Linked DNA regions of Oryctolagus cuniculus. The protein of the gene in region 2 interacts with the protein of the main gene of each other region in a biochemical or structural test. Links are inferred from orthologs where the notes say so. Each region holds a gene or a part of one and is shown on either strand. Other genes may lie near its edges. The genes, in order: TOR1AIP1, TOR1A and TOR1AIP2.

Evidence for each region.
Region 1: the proteins of TOR1A (region 2) and TOR1AIP1 form a complex in vitro, tested with the Homo sapiens proteins (2 studies listed by BioGRID and IntAct). The link is inferred for Oryctolagus cuniculus from reciprocal best matches to the Homo sapiens genes TOR1A and TOR1AIP1.
Region 3: the proteins of TOR1A (region 2) and TOR1AIP2 form a complex in vitro, tested with the Homo sapiens proteins (4 studies listed by BioGRID and IntAct, with this or other methods). The link is inferred for Oryctolagus cuniculus from reciprocal best matches to the Homo sapiens genes TOR1A and TOR1AIP2.

The regions. Positions count from the first base shown.
Region 1 is NC_091438.1:8,030,317-8,033,958, reverse strand, and holds part of TOR1AIP1 (torsin-1A-interacting protein 1), read right to left. Parts: 5' UTR 2,441-3,642; coding exon 1,960-2,440; intron 685-1,959; exon of another isoform or gene 577-684; coding exon of another isoform or gene 462-576; intron 1-461. UniProt on the Homo sapiens protein: Required for nuclear membrane integrity. Induces TOR1A and TOR1B ATPase activity and is required for their location on the nuclear membrane. Binds to A- and B-type lamins. Possible role in membrane attachment and assembly of the nuclear lamina.
Region 2 is NC_091432.1:232,659,151-232,663,246, forward strand, and holds the end of TOR1A (torsin-1A), read right to left. Parts: intron 1,140-4,096; coding exon 889-1,139; 3' UTR 614-888; downstream 1-613. UniProt on the Homo sapiens protein: Protein with chaperone functions important for the control of protein folding, processing, stability and localization as well as for the reduction of misfolded protein aggregates.
Region 3 is NC_091438.1:7,999,615-8,003,256, forward strand, and holds part of TOR1AIP2 (torsin-1A-interacting protein 2), read right to left. Parts: intron 2,741-3,642; coding exon 2,234-2,740; intron 1-2,233. UniProt on the Homo sapiens protein: Required for endoplasmic reticulum integrity. Regulates the distribution of TOR1A between the endoplasmic reticulum and the nuclear envelope as well as induces TOR1A, TOR1B and TOR3A ATPase activity.

The DNA.
Region 1 (3,642 bases), on a different chromosome or scaffold from region 2:
AAAAATAAACTAGTCGCTATTGTTGCTGTACAACAGAAAATACTTTAGAAAATTAAACGGGAGGGAAGAATGGTTATCTTAGAATTGTACCTATGAAATACATGAAATTGTTCTCTTTACAACCATTTTTTAAAAGAAAAGATGGACTATAGTGTCAAAAATGATGAAGAGAGCAGCTGGAAGAGTGAAATGTTGAGAAGATATACTAAAATAGAGATCGATTCTTTATATGTTTTAGAAAAGTGCTCACTGCATCAGGCTGGGGGGGGGGGGGAGTCAACACGAGGTAACAGGTGCTTAGCCGGCCTACCAGGTGCCCAGCAGGGGAGGAGAAACAAAATTAACACAAGTCCCTAAGTTACTATTTAGTCAATGTGTTAGGGCCCTCGCCTTCAACAAGTCTCTAATCTTCGGAGAGAGAGAGGCTAACAGAGGTGGCAGACGGTCTTGGGTGTCTATACCCGAGACCAAGAAGTCTTCAAAGGCGTCAGCCGACTGTTGACAGATACGCGACGACCCGGCAGCCGGCCCGCTGACCTGGGCTGACCTAGGCTGACCCTCGGCCTCTGTCTGCATCACAGGGCCCGTGCGCACCTCACAGATGCCTCAGCTTCCCCTGCCCGCGCCTTGGCGGCCGGGCGTGGGCGCGAGGGCCGGGCTTCGCGGGGCTGACCACACTCATGTGCCCCACGCTCACGGGCCACGAGGACACCGTGGGGACTGACCCACACTGACTGTGCCCCACGCGGACACCGAGGGGACTGACCACACTCCTGTGCCCCACGCTCGCGGACACCGTGGGTTCTGACCACACTCCTGTGCCCCACGCTCGCGGGCACCGTGGGGACTGACCACACTCCTGTGCTCCACGCTCGCGGGCCACGCCGACACCGAGGGGGCTGACCCACATTCATGTGCCCCACGCTCACGGGCCACGAGGACACCGTGGGGACTGACCCACACTGACTGTGCCCCACGCGGACACCGAGGGGACTGACCACACTCCTGTGCCCCACGCTCGCGGGCACCGAGGGGACTGACCACACTCCTGTGCCCCACGCTCGCGGGCCACGCGGACACCGTGGGGACTGACCACACTCCTGTGCCCCACGCTCGCGGGCCACGCGGACACCGTGGGGACTGACCACACTCCTGTGCCCCACGCTCGCGGGCCGCGCGGACACCGTGTGGACTGACCACACTCCTGTGCCCCACGCTCGCGGGCCGCGCGGACACCGTGGGGACTGACCACACTCCTGTGCCCCACGCTCGCGGGCCGCGCGGACACCGTGGGGGCTGACCACACTCCTGTGCCGCACGCTCGCGGGCCACGCGGACACACGCCCCCTGCCCAGCGGCCGCCGAGGGGGCAGCCCGGGTCCTCACTTCCATCTCAGTGCAAGCACTTGGGGCGGGGTCTCCACTCAGCCACCGCACTCTCCCGCGAAGCGCCCCTTCTCCGTCCCCCACCTCCCGTCCCTCCCTCCCCACGCGGATGGAGGAGGGGAACGGACTAGAGCGTTAGATCCGATCCCGACTCCTCGGGGCACGAAAGGAAATGGAAGTGGCTCCGCCAGAACCCATCAGCGGGAACTGAAACGAAAGCGAGCCGGAGGAGCGCCCCGCCCGGGAGGAGACCCCCACGCCCCTGAAGCGATGGCCAGGGACGCGCAGAGCTCGCCGGCCCCGCGCAGGGGGTCCGCACGACCCCCTCGCCCTTCTCCCCGACCCGCGGACCGAGGGGGCCCCAAGGCGCGCGCCCGCCCCGCCGGCCCCTCCGGCCCGGGAGGAGACCCCCACCCCCCTGAAGCGATGGCCAGGGACGCGCAGAGCTCGCCGGCCCCGCGCAGGGGGCCCGCACGACCCCCTCGCCCCGTCTCCCCGACCCGCGGGCCGAGGGGGCCCCATGGCGCGCGCCCGCCCCGCCGGCGGCGGCACCGTTCCCTCCGCCGCGCGCACCTTCAGAGGACTGAGAGTCTCGCAGCCCTCTCCGCGTCGTAATCGGAGACGCCTGGGCCGGGGGCTGCGGGGAATGCTGCTGCTGCTGCAGCTGGCGGGTCGCCCTTCGCGTCTTCATCTCCCCGGCGTCCCGGGGTCGCGGCGGCCTCCGCTGCCGAGACCGGAGGTAGTAGGCGCTTTCTCTCAATTCCTCTTTCCCAGAACCGGGCCGGAACTCTTCTGACGGGACTCGCCTTCCCGCCGGAGACCTTTCTTTGGCCACCCGGGGCTCGAAGTCGCCGTACACTTCTGGCGGCTCTTCGGAAAACCTCACTTCCCGTCGGCCCTGGCGCGACGGAAGCGTTCCGTGCGCAGGCGCGTCACCGCCGCCGCCATTTTGCGGGGCGAGCCGAGGCCGTCCCTCCCGAAGAGGGGCCCTGGGCGTGACGTACAGCCCCCACCCCTCCCGCGCCAGCTCCGCCCGCCGCCCCTCGCCCGCCATGGTTGTTGACGTAGCTCGAGTGGATTGCGAAGATGGCTCTGCGGTCCCGAGAGTCTCCCGCCGGCGGTGGCGATGGCGCCTCTTGGGGGTGGGGGGGTGTCGAGCGGTGGTCGCGGTGGTCAGGGAGGCAGCTGAGAGTCGCCGGGGCCGCCGCCTGCGTCGTCGCTGCTGTGCCGCGAAGCTGCCCCTGGGCCCATGGTGTGTCCTGCGGGCTGTGCTAGAGGCAGTGCCTGGCTGGGTCAGCTGCTCGGAGGGTCACTCCCGCCTCTTGGCTGCAGGCACCAAAGAGGAGGAGAAGGGGGAGGAAGACGTCGCTGTCCTGGGCCGCGAGGGAGGGAGCGGCGGGGCGAAGGAGCCGCGGCCGGGCCGGGCCGACTTGCAAGCGCCAGTGCAAGGGTCCTCGCGCCCCGCCTGCTGCGCACTTTTTCTGGAACCCCTTCCCCCACTTTTTTTTTTTTGATTGACAGCTACCTGGCTGTGCCCCCACGACGGTGAGAGGATCAGATACTTTTTGCCTAGGGCATCTGTTCAGGGCGAGTTTTAGTTTCAAACCCCTAATGAAGAAGGCTACCCAGGGCTAAACGCAAAACACCTGCTGGACAGGTGCGACATGTTGGCGTTCTCGCTGGGTGGGTTTCCGTCGGCGAAGCGTGCTGGTAGCAGACGTGCGCCTGCTCCTGGCTTTGTTAGGGAGGCTGTTGGCGCTGCCTGTGTGCCGTGAGAACCGAACGCCTTCTTAGTAACGTTGCGATCCATTTGATGCTGGGAGTGACTTGTGCACTTGACTGATTTCTGACAAAAATACTGGAAAGTACTGGCACTTGGTGATACCTGGCTTTTATTTATGTGTTAAGTAAGTACTGCTTTCTCTGTGAGGTGGCTTTTGCTTTACTCATTACCACGTAATAATGAAAGCTCTTTTAACAGGTGTACTACAATTATTAAAAGATGTAAATTTTATAGGGTTACTAAGGTTCATATGATGAGCATTAATGCATACATTAAGAGGCTTATTAAAACATGTACCGGTACAGGTGACTACGGACTTCTATATAGGCTTGTAAAACGTAGATTTGGGGGGCCTGTTAAAGAGGAGAGGTTCTGTGTCCTGACCCATCAGAGGTGAGATTCGCAGATTACTGAGTAATCAGTACATCTTACTTTGTCATTAAAACGGGAGGTTTTCCAAGATACGAATGATG
Region 2 (4,096 bases):
CTCCCTCTCAAATAAAATCTTTTTAAAAATAAATAAATATGGGCCGGCGCCGTGGCTTACTTGGTTAATCCTCCACCTCTGGCACTGGCATCCCATATGGGCGCAGGATTCTGTCCCGGTCGCGCCTCTTCCAGTCCAGCTCTCTGCTGTGGCCCGGGAAGGCAGTGGAGGATGGCCCAAGTGCTTGGGCCCTGCACCCCATGGGAGACCAGGAGGAAGTGCCTGGCTCCTGGCTCGAATTGGCGCAGTGCCGGCCGTAGCGGCCATTGGGGGGGGGGGATGGACCAACGGAAGGAAGACCTTTCTCTGTCTCTCTCTCATTGTCTATGACTCTGTCAAATAAATAAACCCTAGCCGTCCCACTTCTGATCCAGCTCCCTGTTAATACACCTGGGAATGTAGCAGAGGATGGCCCAGGTTCTTGGGCCTCTGCACGCACGTGAAGTCCTGGATGGAGTTCCAGGTTCCTGGCTTTGACCTGGCCCAGCCCCAGCCATTGTGACCATTTGGCGAGCGAACCAGCAGATGGGAGATCTCCCTGCCTCTGTCTCTCCCTCTGTAACTCCATCTTTCAAATAAATGAATAATTAAAAAAAAAATAAAAGCCAACAGCTTACATTCTAAAAAGTTTCTCATAATGTTAAAAACCATTTTAAATAAAGTTACCACATTTTCAGTAAAACATTCATCCTTCCTTGAAACAGAAACACTTGAAATTAAAATATAATTTAAAAAAAATCATGATCGCTTGTGGGAGCTGGGCGCGAGGGCCTCGCGTCCATGTCCGCCGTCCCTGAGCGGCGACAGCCTGCGGCTCAGAGCAGTGTAGACGAGGTTTGTCCGGTTCCCGGGCGGGGCTGTTCCTCCTTCACTCGAAGCCGTCAGCTGTCAGTCGTCGTAGTAGTAATCCAACTTGGTGAACACAGTCTTGCAGCCCTTGTCCGAGTAGACCCTCTCGTCCTTGGGGAAGAAGGTCATCTCCTCGGCCACTCTGCTCACCACGTCCTCGTCCACCGCGTAGCCCCGGGCGCGCATCTCCACCCGGATGCACATCTTCACGTGCTTGTACTCCAGCGGCAGGAAGGGGACGAAGTAGTCGATGAGGTTGCGGTCGATCAGGCTGCTGTGCCAGAAGCCACCTGCGAGGAGCAGAAGGTGCTGTCCCCACCGACCCTCCGCCGTCTGTCTGTCCTGTCCGACACCCGGCCGCTCTGTGCCCCTCGCACCGGCCCCAGGGAGCGCCTGGCCACCTGCAGGGGGCTCGCAGCCCAGGGGGCCTGGGGGCTCCACGGGCGCGACCGCCCACCGGGTGAAGAGGGGCTCGCGGCCCAGGGGGCCTGGGGGGCTCCACGGGCGCGACCGCCCACCGGGTGAAGAGGGGCTCGCGGCCCAGGGGGCCTGGGGGGCTCCACGGGCGCGACCGCCCACCGGGTGAAGAGGGGCTCGCGGCCCAGGGGGGCTCCACGCATGCGACTGCCCACCGGTGAAGAGGGGCTCGCGGCCCAGGAGGCCTGGGCCAGCAGAGGCGGCCGGGAGGAAGCTGGTTCTCAGGCTGGCAGAGTTTCAAGACAGTGAAAGGAGGGGCGGGTTCCCAGGGAAGGGCTGGGCCGGCCACGCCCTTTCGTCCAGGGCCTCCATCGGCTCCCAGCAGTGGGAGGGGCCAGACAAGTGCACCTGGTCCCTCTGGGCAGGGGCCGTGCCGTGTGTCCCCCTCCCACAGGGGCTGGCGCTGCACCTGCCCAGTCCCCCTCCAGGCTCCTGGAACCCTGACCCAACACTCGCTCCCTCCTTGTCGGCCACGGGGCGCCCAGCACCCCACGGCTTTCTCCCCCTGAGCCGTTTCGCTTCAGCGTCCTCTGACCCTGCTCCCCCAACCAGCACTGCTGTGCACACAACTGGTGCCGACCAAAGGCGGGACTGGCCGGGCGGGGCTCACCTGTGGCCCTGGGAAAGAACTGACACGGAGCGGTGAGGGCTGGGACGCTGCCTGCCCCCTCCAGCTCGCTGGAAGGCCTCCCACGTGCAGACTCCCACTCGGCCCTGGGAAAGGGGCAGAGAGCCAGCCAGGGTGGACGCTGCCCGCATGGGTCTCCCCTTCTGGGTGCAGAGACAGGGGACAAACCAGTGAATTCACAGGTTCAGGCGGTGCTGGGGACACTGGAGAGTGGGCCAGGTGAGCAGTGTAGACGCAGCGAGGGCTGGCTGGGGGGGGGGGGGGTGTCCCCCGGACGCAGTCTGAGTGACAAGGACCAGACCAGCCAAGACAGGAAGCTTCGCAGAACAAGGGACCTCAGGGCTGGCGCTGTGGCGTGGCGGGTAAAGCCGCAACGCTGGCATCCCAAACGGGCACCAGCTCCCAGGGAAAAGCAGTGAAGATGGCCCAGAGATGGGTCCCTGCACGTACGTGTGAGACCCGGATGGAACTCCTGGCTTTGGCCTGGCTCAGCTCTGCCCGTTGCGGCCATCTGAGGAGTGAACCAGCGGATGGAAGACCTCTATCTCACCCTCCCTCTCTGTAACCCTTTCAAATAAAGACATGAAATCTTTTAAAAAGTAACACCTGGGGTCTCAGCCCATGGCTGCACAAGCACCTACTGCTGATGCCCAAAGGGGCACCCCCACCGCGCAGCCTCCCCGACAAACCACAGCGGCCAACCTCCTGCTCGCGCCCCTGCCTGGAGGCCCTACACACCCTCACGCGGCTGACCTGCCCCGCACCAGTGTCCCTTTCCAGCCGCTGAAGCCACACTCCTCCCCCACACAGCCCCGAGGGAGTCCCCACTTCGACCTCCAAGACCCCAGAATCCCAGCACCTCGCCCCACCCGACAGCTACCGCGCCGGTCTCCTGGCCCCTGCTGCCTTCGGTCTGCGCCCCCGGCAGCCGGCACAGCCCAGCGCCAGCCGAGCCACCACCTGCTCGGAAGCCTCAGCGCCTCTCCCACCTGGAATCAAACCCAAGGCCTCCGTAACCTGCGCCCCCGCTCTCAGCCCTGCTCACCTCCACTTCCTCCCGGAGCAGCTGCCACTCCTGGCCTGTGCCCACTGCAGGGCCTCGTCGGCCCACTCCCTCCCACCCTCCCAGGGAGCTGTCCACTCAGATCCAGCTTATGCGTGTCCCAGCACCCCCAGATCCTTCCTTAGTTTCTTCTCCCCGCTGGGGGCAAGAAGAGAACATACATACACCTGTGGGGGGGGGGGCACACATGTTATCTCCCACCATCTGACAGGCTTTACTGACATTAAGATGTAAACTGGGGGCCGGTGCTGTGGTGTAGCGGGTAAAGCCGCTGCCTGCAGTGCCAGCATCCCTTACGGGCGCTGGTTCAAGTCCCAGCTGCTCCACTACCGATCCAGCTCTATGCTGTGGCCTGGGAAAGCAGTGGAGGATGGCCCAGGTGCTTGGGCCCCTGCACCCGCGTGGGAGACCTGGAGGAAGCTCCTGGCTTCGGATCAGCCCAGCTCTGGCTGTTGCAGCCATCTGGGGAGTGAACCAGCGGATGGAAAACCTCTCTCTCTCTTTCTCTGCCTCTCAAATAAATCTTAAATAATAATAATAATAAAAAAGGGGAAGCTGGGTGAGGGTGGGAATGTCTTTCTCCCCACTGGCTGTGTGAACCTAGCAGGTGCTCAGTAAGCCTGGGGGTATCTGGCACCTGCCTGTGACCGGAGCAGCAGCCCAGCCGGTCTGCCTGATTCCCAGGCGGGTCCCCCAGAGTGGCTTTGCAAGCTGGCACGGCGCAGGCTCTGGGCCGCCGGCCCCCATTGGGGACGTGCAGGATTTAGTCTGTGAGTCGGCACCCGTCCTGCCGGCTCTCCACCTCCCGGGGTTCAAGGCCAAAGGTACGGATGACATTCATGAGAGAAGCAGCGAGCAACACAAGCTCCGGTTCTGGCACCGGGGACACGGGACAGGGCGCCCGTCTGCCCGAGCCTCATCCTCACCGGCACACTAGGGACAGCCGCAGTTTCTCCCCCCAAGGTTACTGAAAGGAGATGGGACGAAACGGACACGTGGGCAGTGCTGAGACAGCGGGGGCCCAGCGGTCACCTCCCCGACAGCCATCCTTGGTCACCATCTGCTCGGCTTCTACAAGA
Region 3 (3,642 bases), on a different chromosome or scaffold from region 2:
GACATAAATTTTTACAAATAACATGATATGTTCTGAATTTATAATAATCCTCAGCAGAAAACAAAATTAGCATTATGTTGACAATAGTTGAAGATGGATATTGAGAACATAAGGAATGTTATACTGGCCTACTTTATAGATTTAAAAACTTCCATGGTACAGTCCAGCATGGTGGCATAGTGGGCTAAGCCTCCACCTATGGCACGGGCATCCCATATGGGTGCTCGTCCATGTCCCAGCTGCTCCTCTTTCCATCCAGCTCTCTGCTAAAGGCCTAGAAAAGCACTGGAAAATGGCTCAAGTGCTTTGCCCCTGCACCCTTGTGTGAGACCCAGAAGCAGCTCCTGGCTCCTGGCTTCAGATCAGTTAGTGCAGCTTTGGCCACTGCAGCCATTTGGGGAGTGAACCAGCACATGGAAGACCTCTCTGACACTCCATCTCTCTTTAACTCTGCTGCTCTCAGACGAACAAATATATTTTTAAAAAATAAAATTTCATTTTTTTAATTATTGTTTATTTGAAACTCAGAATTACACAGAGAGTGGAAAGGCAGAGAGAGAGAGAGAGAGAGAGAGAGAGAGAGAGAGAGAGAGATGCCCTCCATCCGATGGTTCACTTCCCAGCTAGCCACACTGCTGGAGCTGGGTCCATCCGAAGCCAGGAGCCAGGAGCTGCTTCCGGGTCTCCCACAAGGTGCAGGGCCCCAAGGGCTTGCGCCATCTCCTGCTGCTTTCCCAGGCCACAGCAGACAGCTGGATGGGAAGCAGAGCACCCGGGCCTCAATCCGGCACCCATAAGGGATGCCAGCGCTCCAGGCCAGGGCGTTAACCCGCTGTGCCACAGCACTGGCCCCAAAAAGAAAACTTCCAGAGTAAAAGATTTTAAATAAAAATGTCCACTTTCCCTTCTGAAAAATCTACTTGGATTATTTTGACCCTCTCATACATTCCTATAGGATGAAGAACTTAAGTTCCAGCTTTACCCATAACTAGTAACATTCCCTCCAGCTTTATTTCACAACTCTAAGGATTGTCTGTCATCTCCTTTTAAAGATGCAGTGTATTTGCCGATATCAGGGCTGTACTGTTGAAGTCTCCAGAACATTTGTCTGCTCTATAATTAGGATCTGGCACTGTGGCTAAATTCAGTCGATATGAAAGAACAAGGCTAATCTAACAAATTAATCCACTGAGTGTGATTTCACTTCAGACCTCCAGGTTTCGGTCCCAGAGCCCCTCTTTCGGCCCAGCCCTAGTTTCCTGTAGCACAAACCCCAGTACTGGCCTAACTAGCATAGCAAGTAAAGCTGCCACCTGCAGTGCTGGCATCCCACAGGGGCCCTGGTTCCAGTCCTGGCTGCTCCACTTCTGATCCAGCTCTCTGCTATGGTTGGAAAACCAGCAGAAGATGGCCCAAGTCCTTGGGGCCCTGCAACCGTGTGGGAGACCCAGAAGAAGCTCCTGGCTTCGGCCTGGTTCAGCCCTGACTGTTGAGACCTTCTGGAAAGAGAGCCTGCAGACAGGAATCACTCTCTCCCTGTCTCTCCCTCTCTAACTCTGACTTTCAAATATATAAATAAAATTTTTTAAAGATTTGTTTATTTATTTGAAAGTCAGAGTTACACAGAGAGTGGAGAGGCAGAGAGAGAGAGAGGGAGAGAGAAAGAGAGAGAGGTCTTCCATCTGCTGGTTCACTCCCCTGATGGCCGCAATGGCCAGAGCTGTGCTGATCCGAAGCCAGGAGCCAGGAGCTTCTTCTGGGTCTCCCACATGGGTGCAGGGGCCCAGGGACTTGGGCCATCCTCTACTGCCTTCCCAGGCCACAGCAGAGAGCTGGATCAGAAGAGGAGCAGCCGGGACTTGAAACGGCACCCATATGGGATATGGCCACTGCAGGTGGCGGCTTTACCCACCACACAGTGCCGGCCCCATGAATAAATCTTTAACGAAGTATATTCCTAGAGTTGATCTATGTGCTTATTGCCAGAGGTACACGATGAGTGCAAAGGACACAGCTCTGCTCCCTCTCCAGTTACGTCTACTCTGGAGATGAACGAATGACAGCCCTACCGGAGCAGCCAGGATCTGACCCCCGCGCCCCGTATCAGAGGGGATCTGGGCCAGGCTCAAGGGCCTTCATCTGTGAGACACCCAAGTTCTCGGAGAAGCCCTGACCTGTGCTGCATCCTCCGTAACAGCACCACACCCCTGGATGCTCCTGCGTAGATTCTTACCTGCTGCGGGCTGTCGCCTCCTCAACGCGTCCCGGCTGTCCAGACCTGCGCTGCGAGGACCAGGACCGTGGGCCTCCTGGGAGGCTGCGGCAGGCGCCCCCAAAGCAGCCGCAGCTCCGTCACTCGCTCCCTCGGGGAGGGCCACAGAGCTGCTCCCCGGCTGTGCACCTGCTCTCCCTACCTCGTCGCTTGGAGAACAGTTGGGATCCAGACCCAGGGGTTCTCCCCCCAGACTTCCCCAAGGCACCTGATGTCCTTGTTCTCCATCCGGGACACCGGGCTTGCTCTCAGGTTCTGCTGTAGCCTTGGGATGGTCTCCAAAGTCTGCTGGACCCGGGCCCTCTGCTGTGCCGCCTGCGTCTGCACTTTCTGGACCCTCTTGGTGGTCTTTGTCAAGATCAGAGGCAGGAGGCAGGGCCTGAGTCTCTGCAGGGGGACTTGCTGTGACTGCGGTCTCCTGCGCGTGAGAATCCACTGACGGCTCACTTTCCAAATCCTTTGGAGAGTCTACCGGGATAAAAATTCACAATTTTTATTGGAGAAAATGTCTCCCTATTTTTATATTCCATCAAGGTCTTTGATGGACAACTATATTTGTGGTTTATAAGGCATCTTCCTAAATATTATTTCTCTGGGCTCTCAATAAAGATAACACTAATGTAAAACAATTTCAAGTGATCAAACCAACTCTTGGTAGTATTAAATATATCCCCTTCCGTAACAAAAGGCAATGACCATCAGCGGCAGTAAAACTATTTGTGTAAAAGGTCAATCCAGACCGAAAACCGAAACCACTGATCAACCTTAGTAGCACAAAAACAGGAAAAGCCAGATAGCATCAGTAGCAAGGACACGATTCCTCCTGTGAGGTGTTCTTGCTCAACAACTGGACTGCAATCGCATCATCTTTTAGGACTGACCACCAGTTCCCCAGAAACGCAGGGTAGAGGAACGTGTCTAATCAAGCTTCAGGAATGCAACCAGCAGACCCCGAATGTGGGAAAGTCCAGGAACAAGCCTCTGCTGGGCTGGGGCTGCGGACGCTGCGGGCACCTGCACTCCCTCTGGGCGCTGGTTTGGGTCCCAGCTCCCCTGTTTGCCATCCAGCTCCCTGCTCTTGTGCCTGGGGTGGGGGTAGCCCTGGTGCTTGGGCCCTGCACTCAAACAGCAGAGCCAGAAGCAGCTCCTGGCTCCCGGTTGCAGCCATCTGGTGAGTGAACTAGCAGATGGAAGATCACTCTCCCTTTCTGTCTCTGCCTCTCTGTAACTCTGCCCGCCTTTCAAATAAATCACTAAATCTTAAAAAAAAAAAAAAAAAGACAACTTTTGTTTCTTTAGTAAAGACAAGAAATAGAAACGAATGACAGAAAAGGGTAAAAAAGGCGGGTGATCTATTGAGTGATCCCATC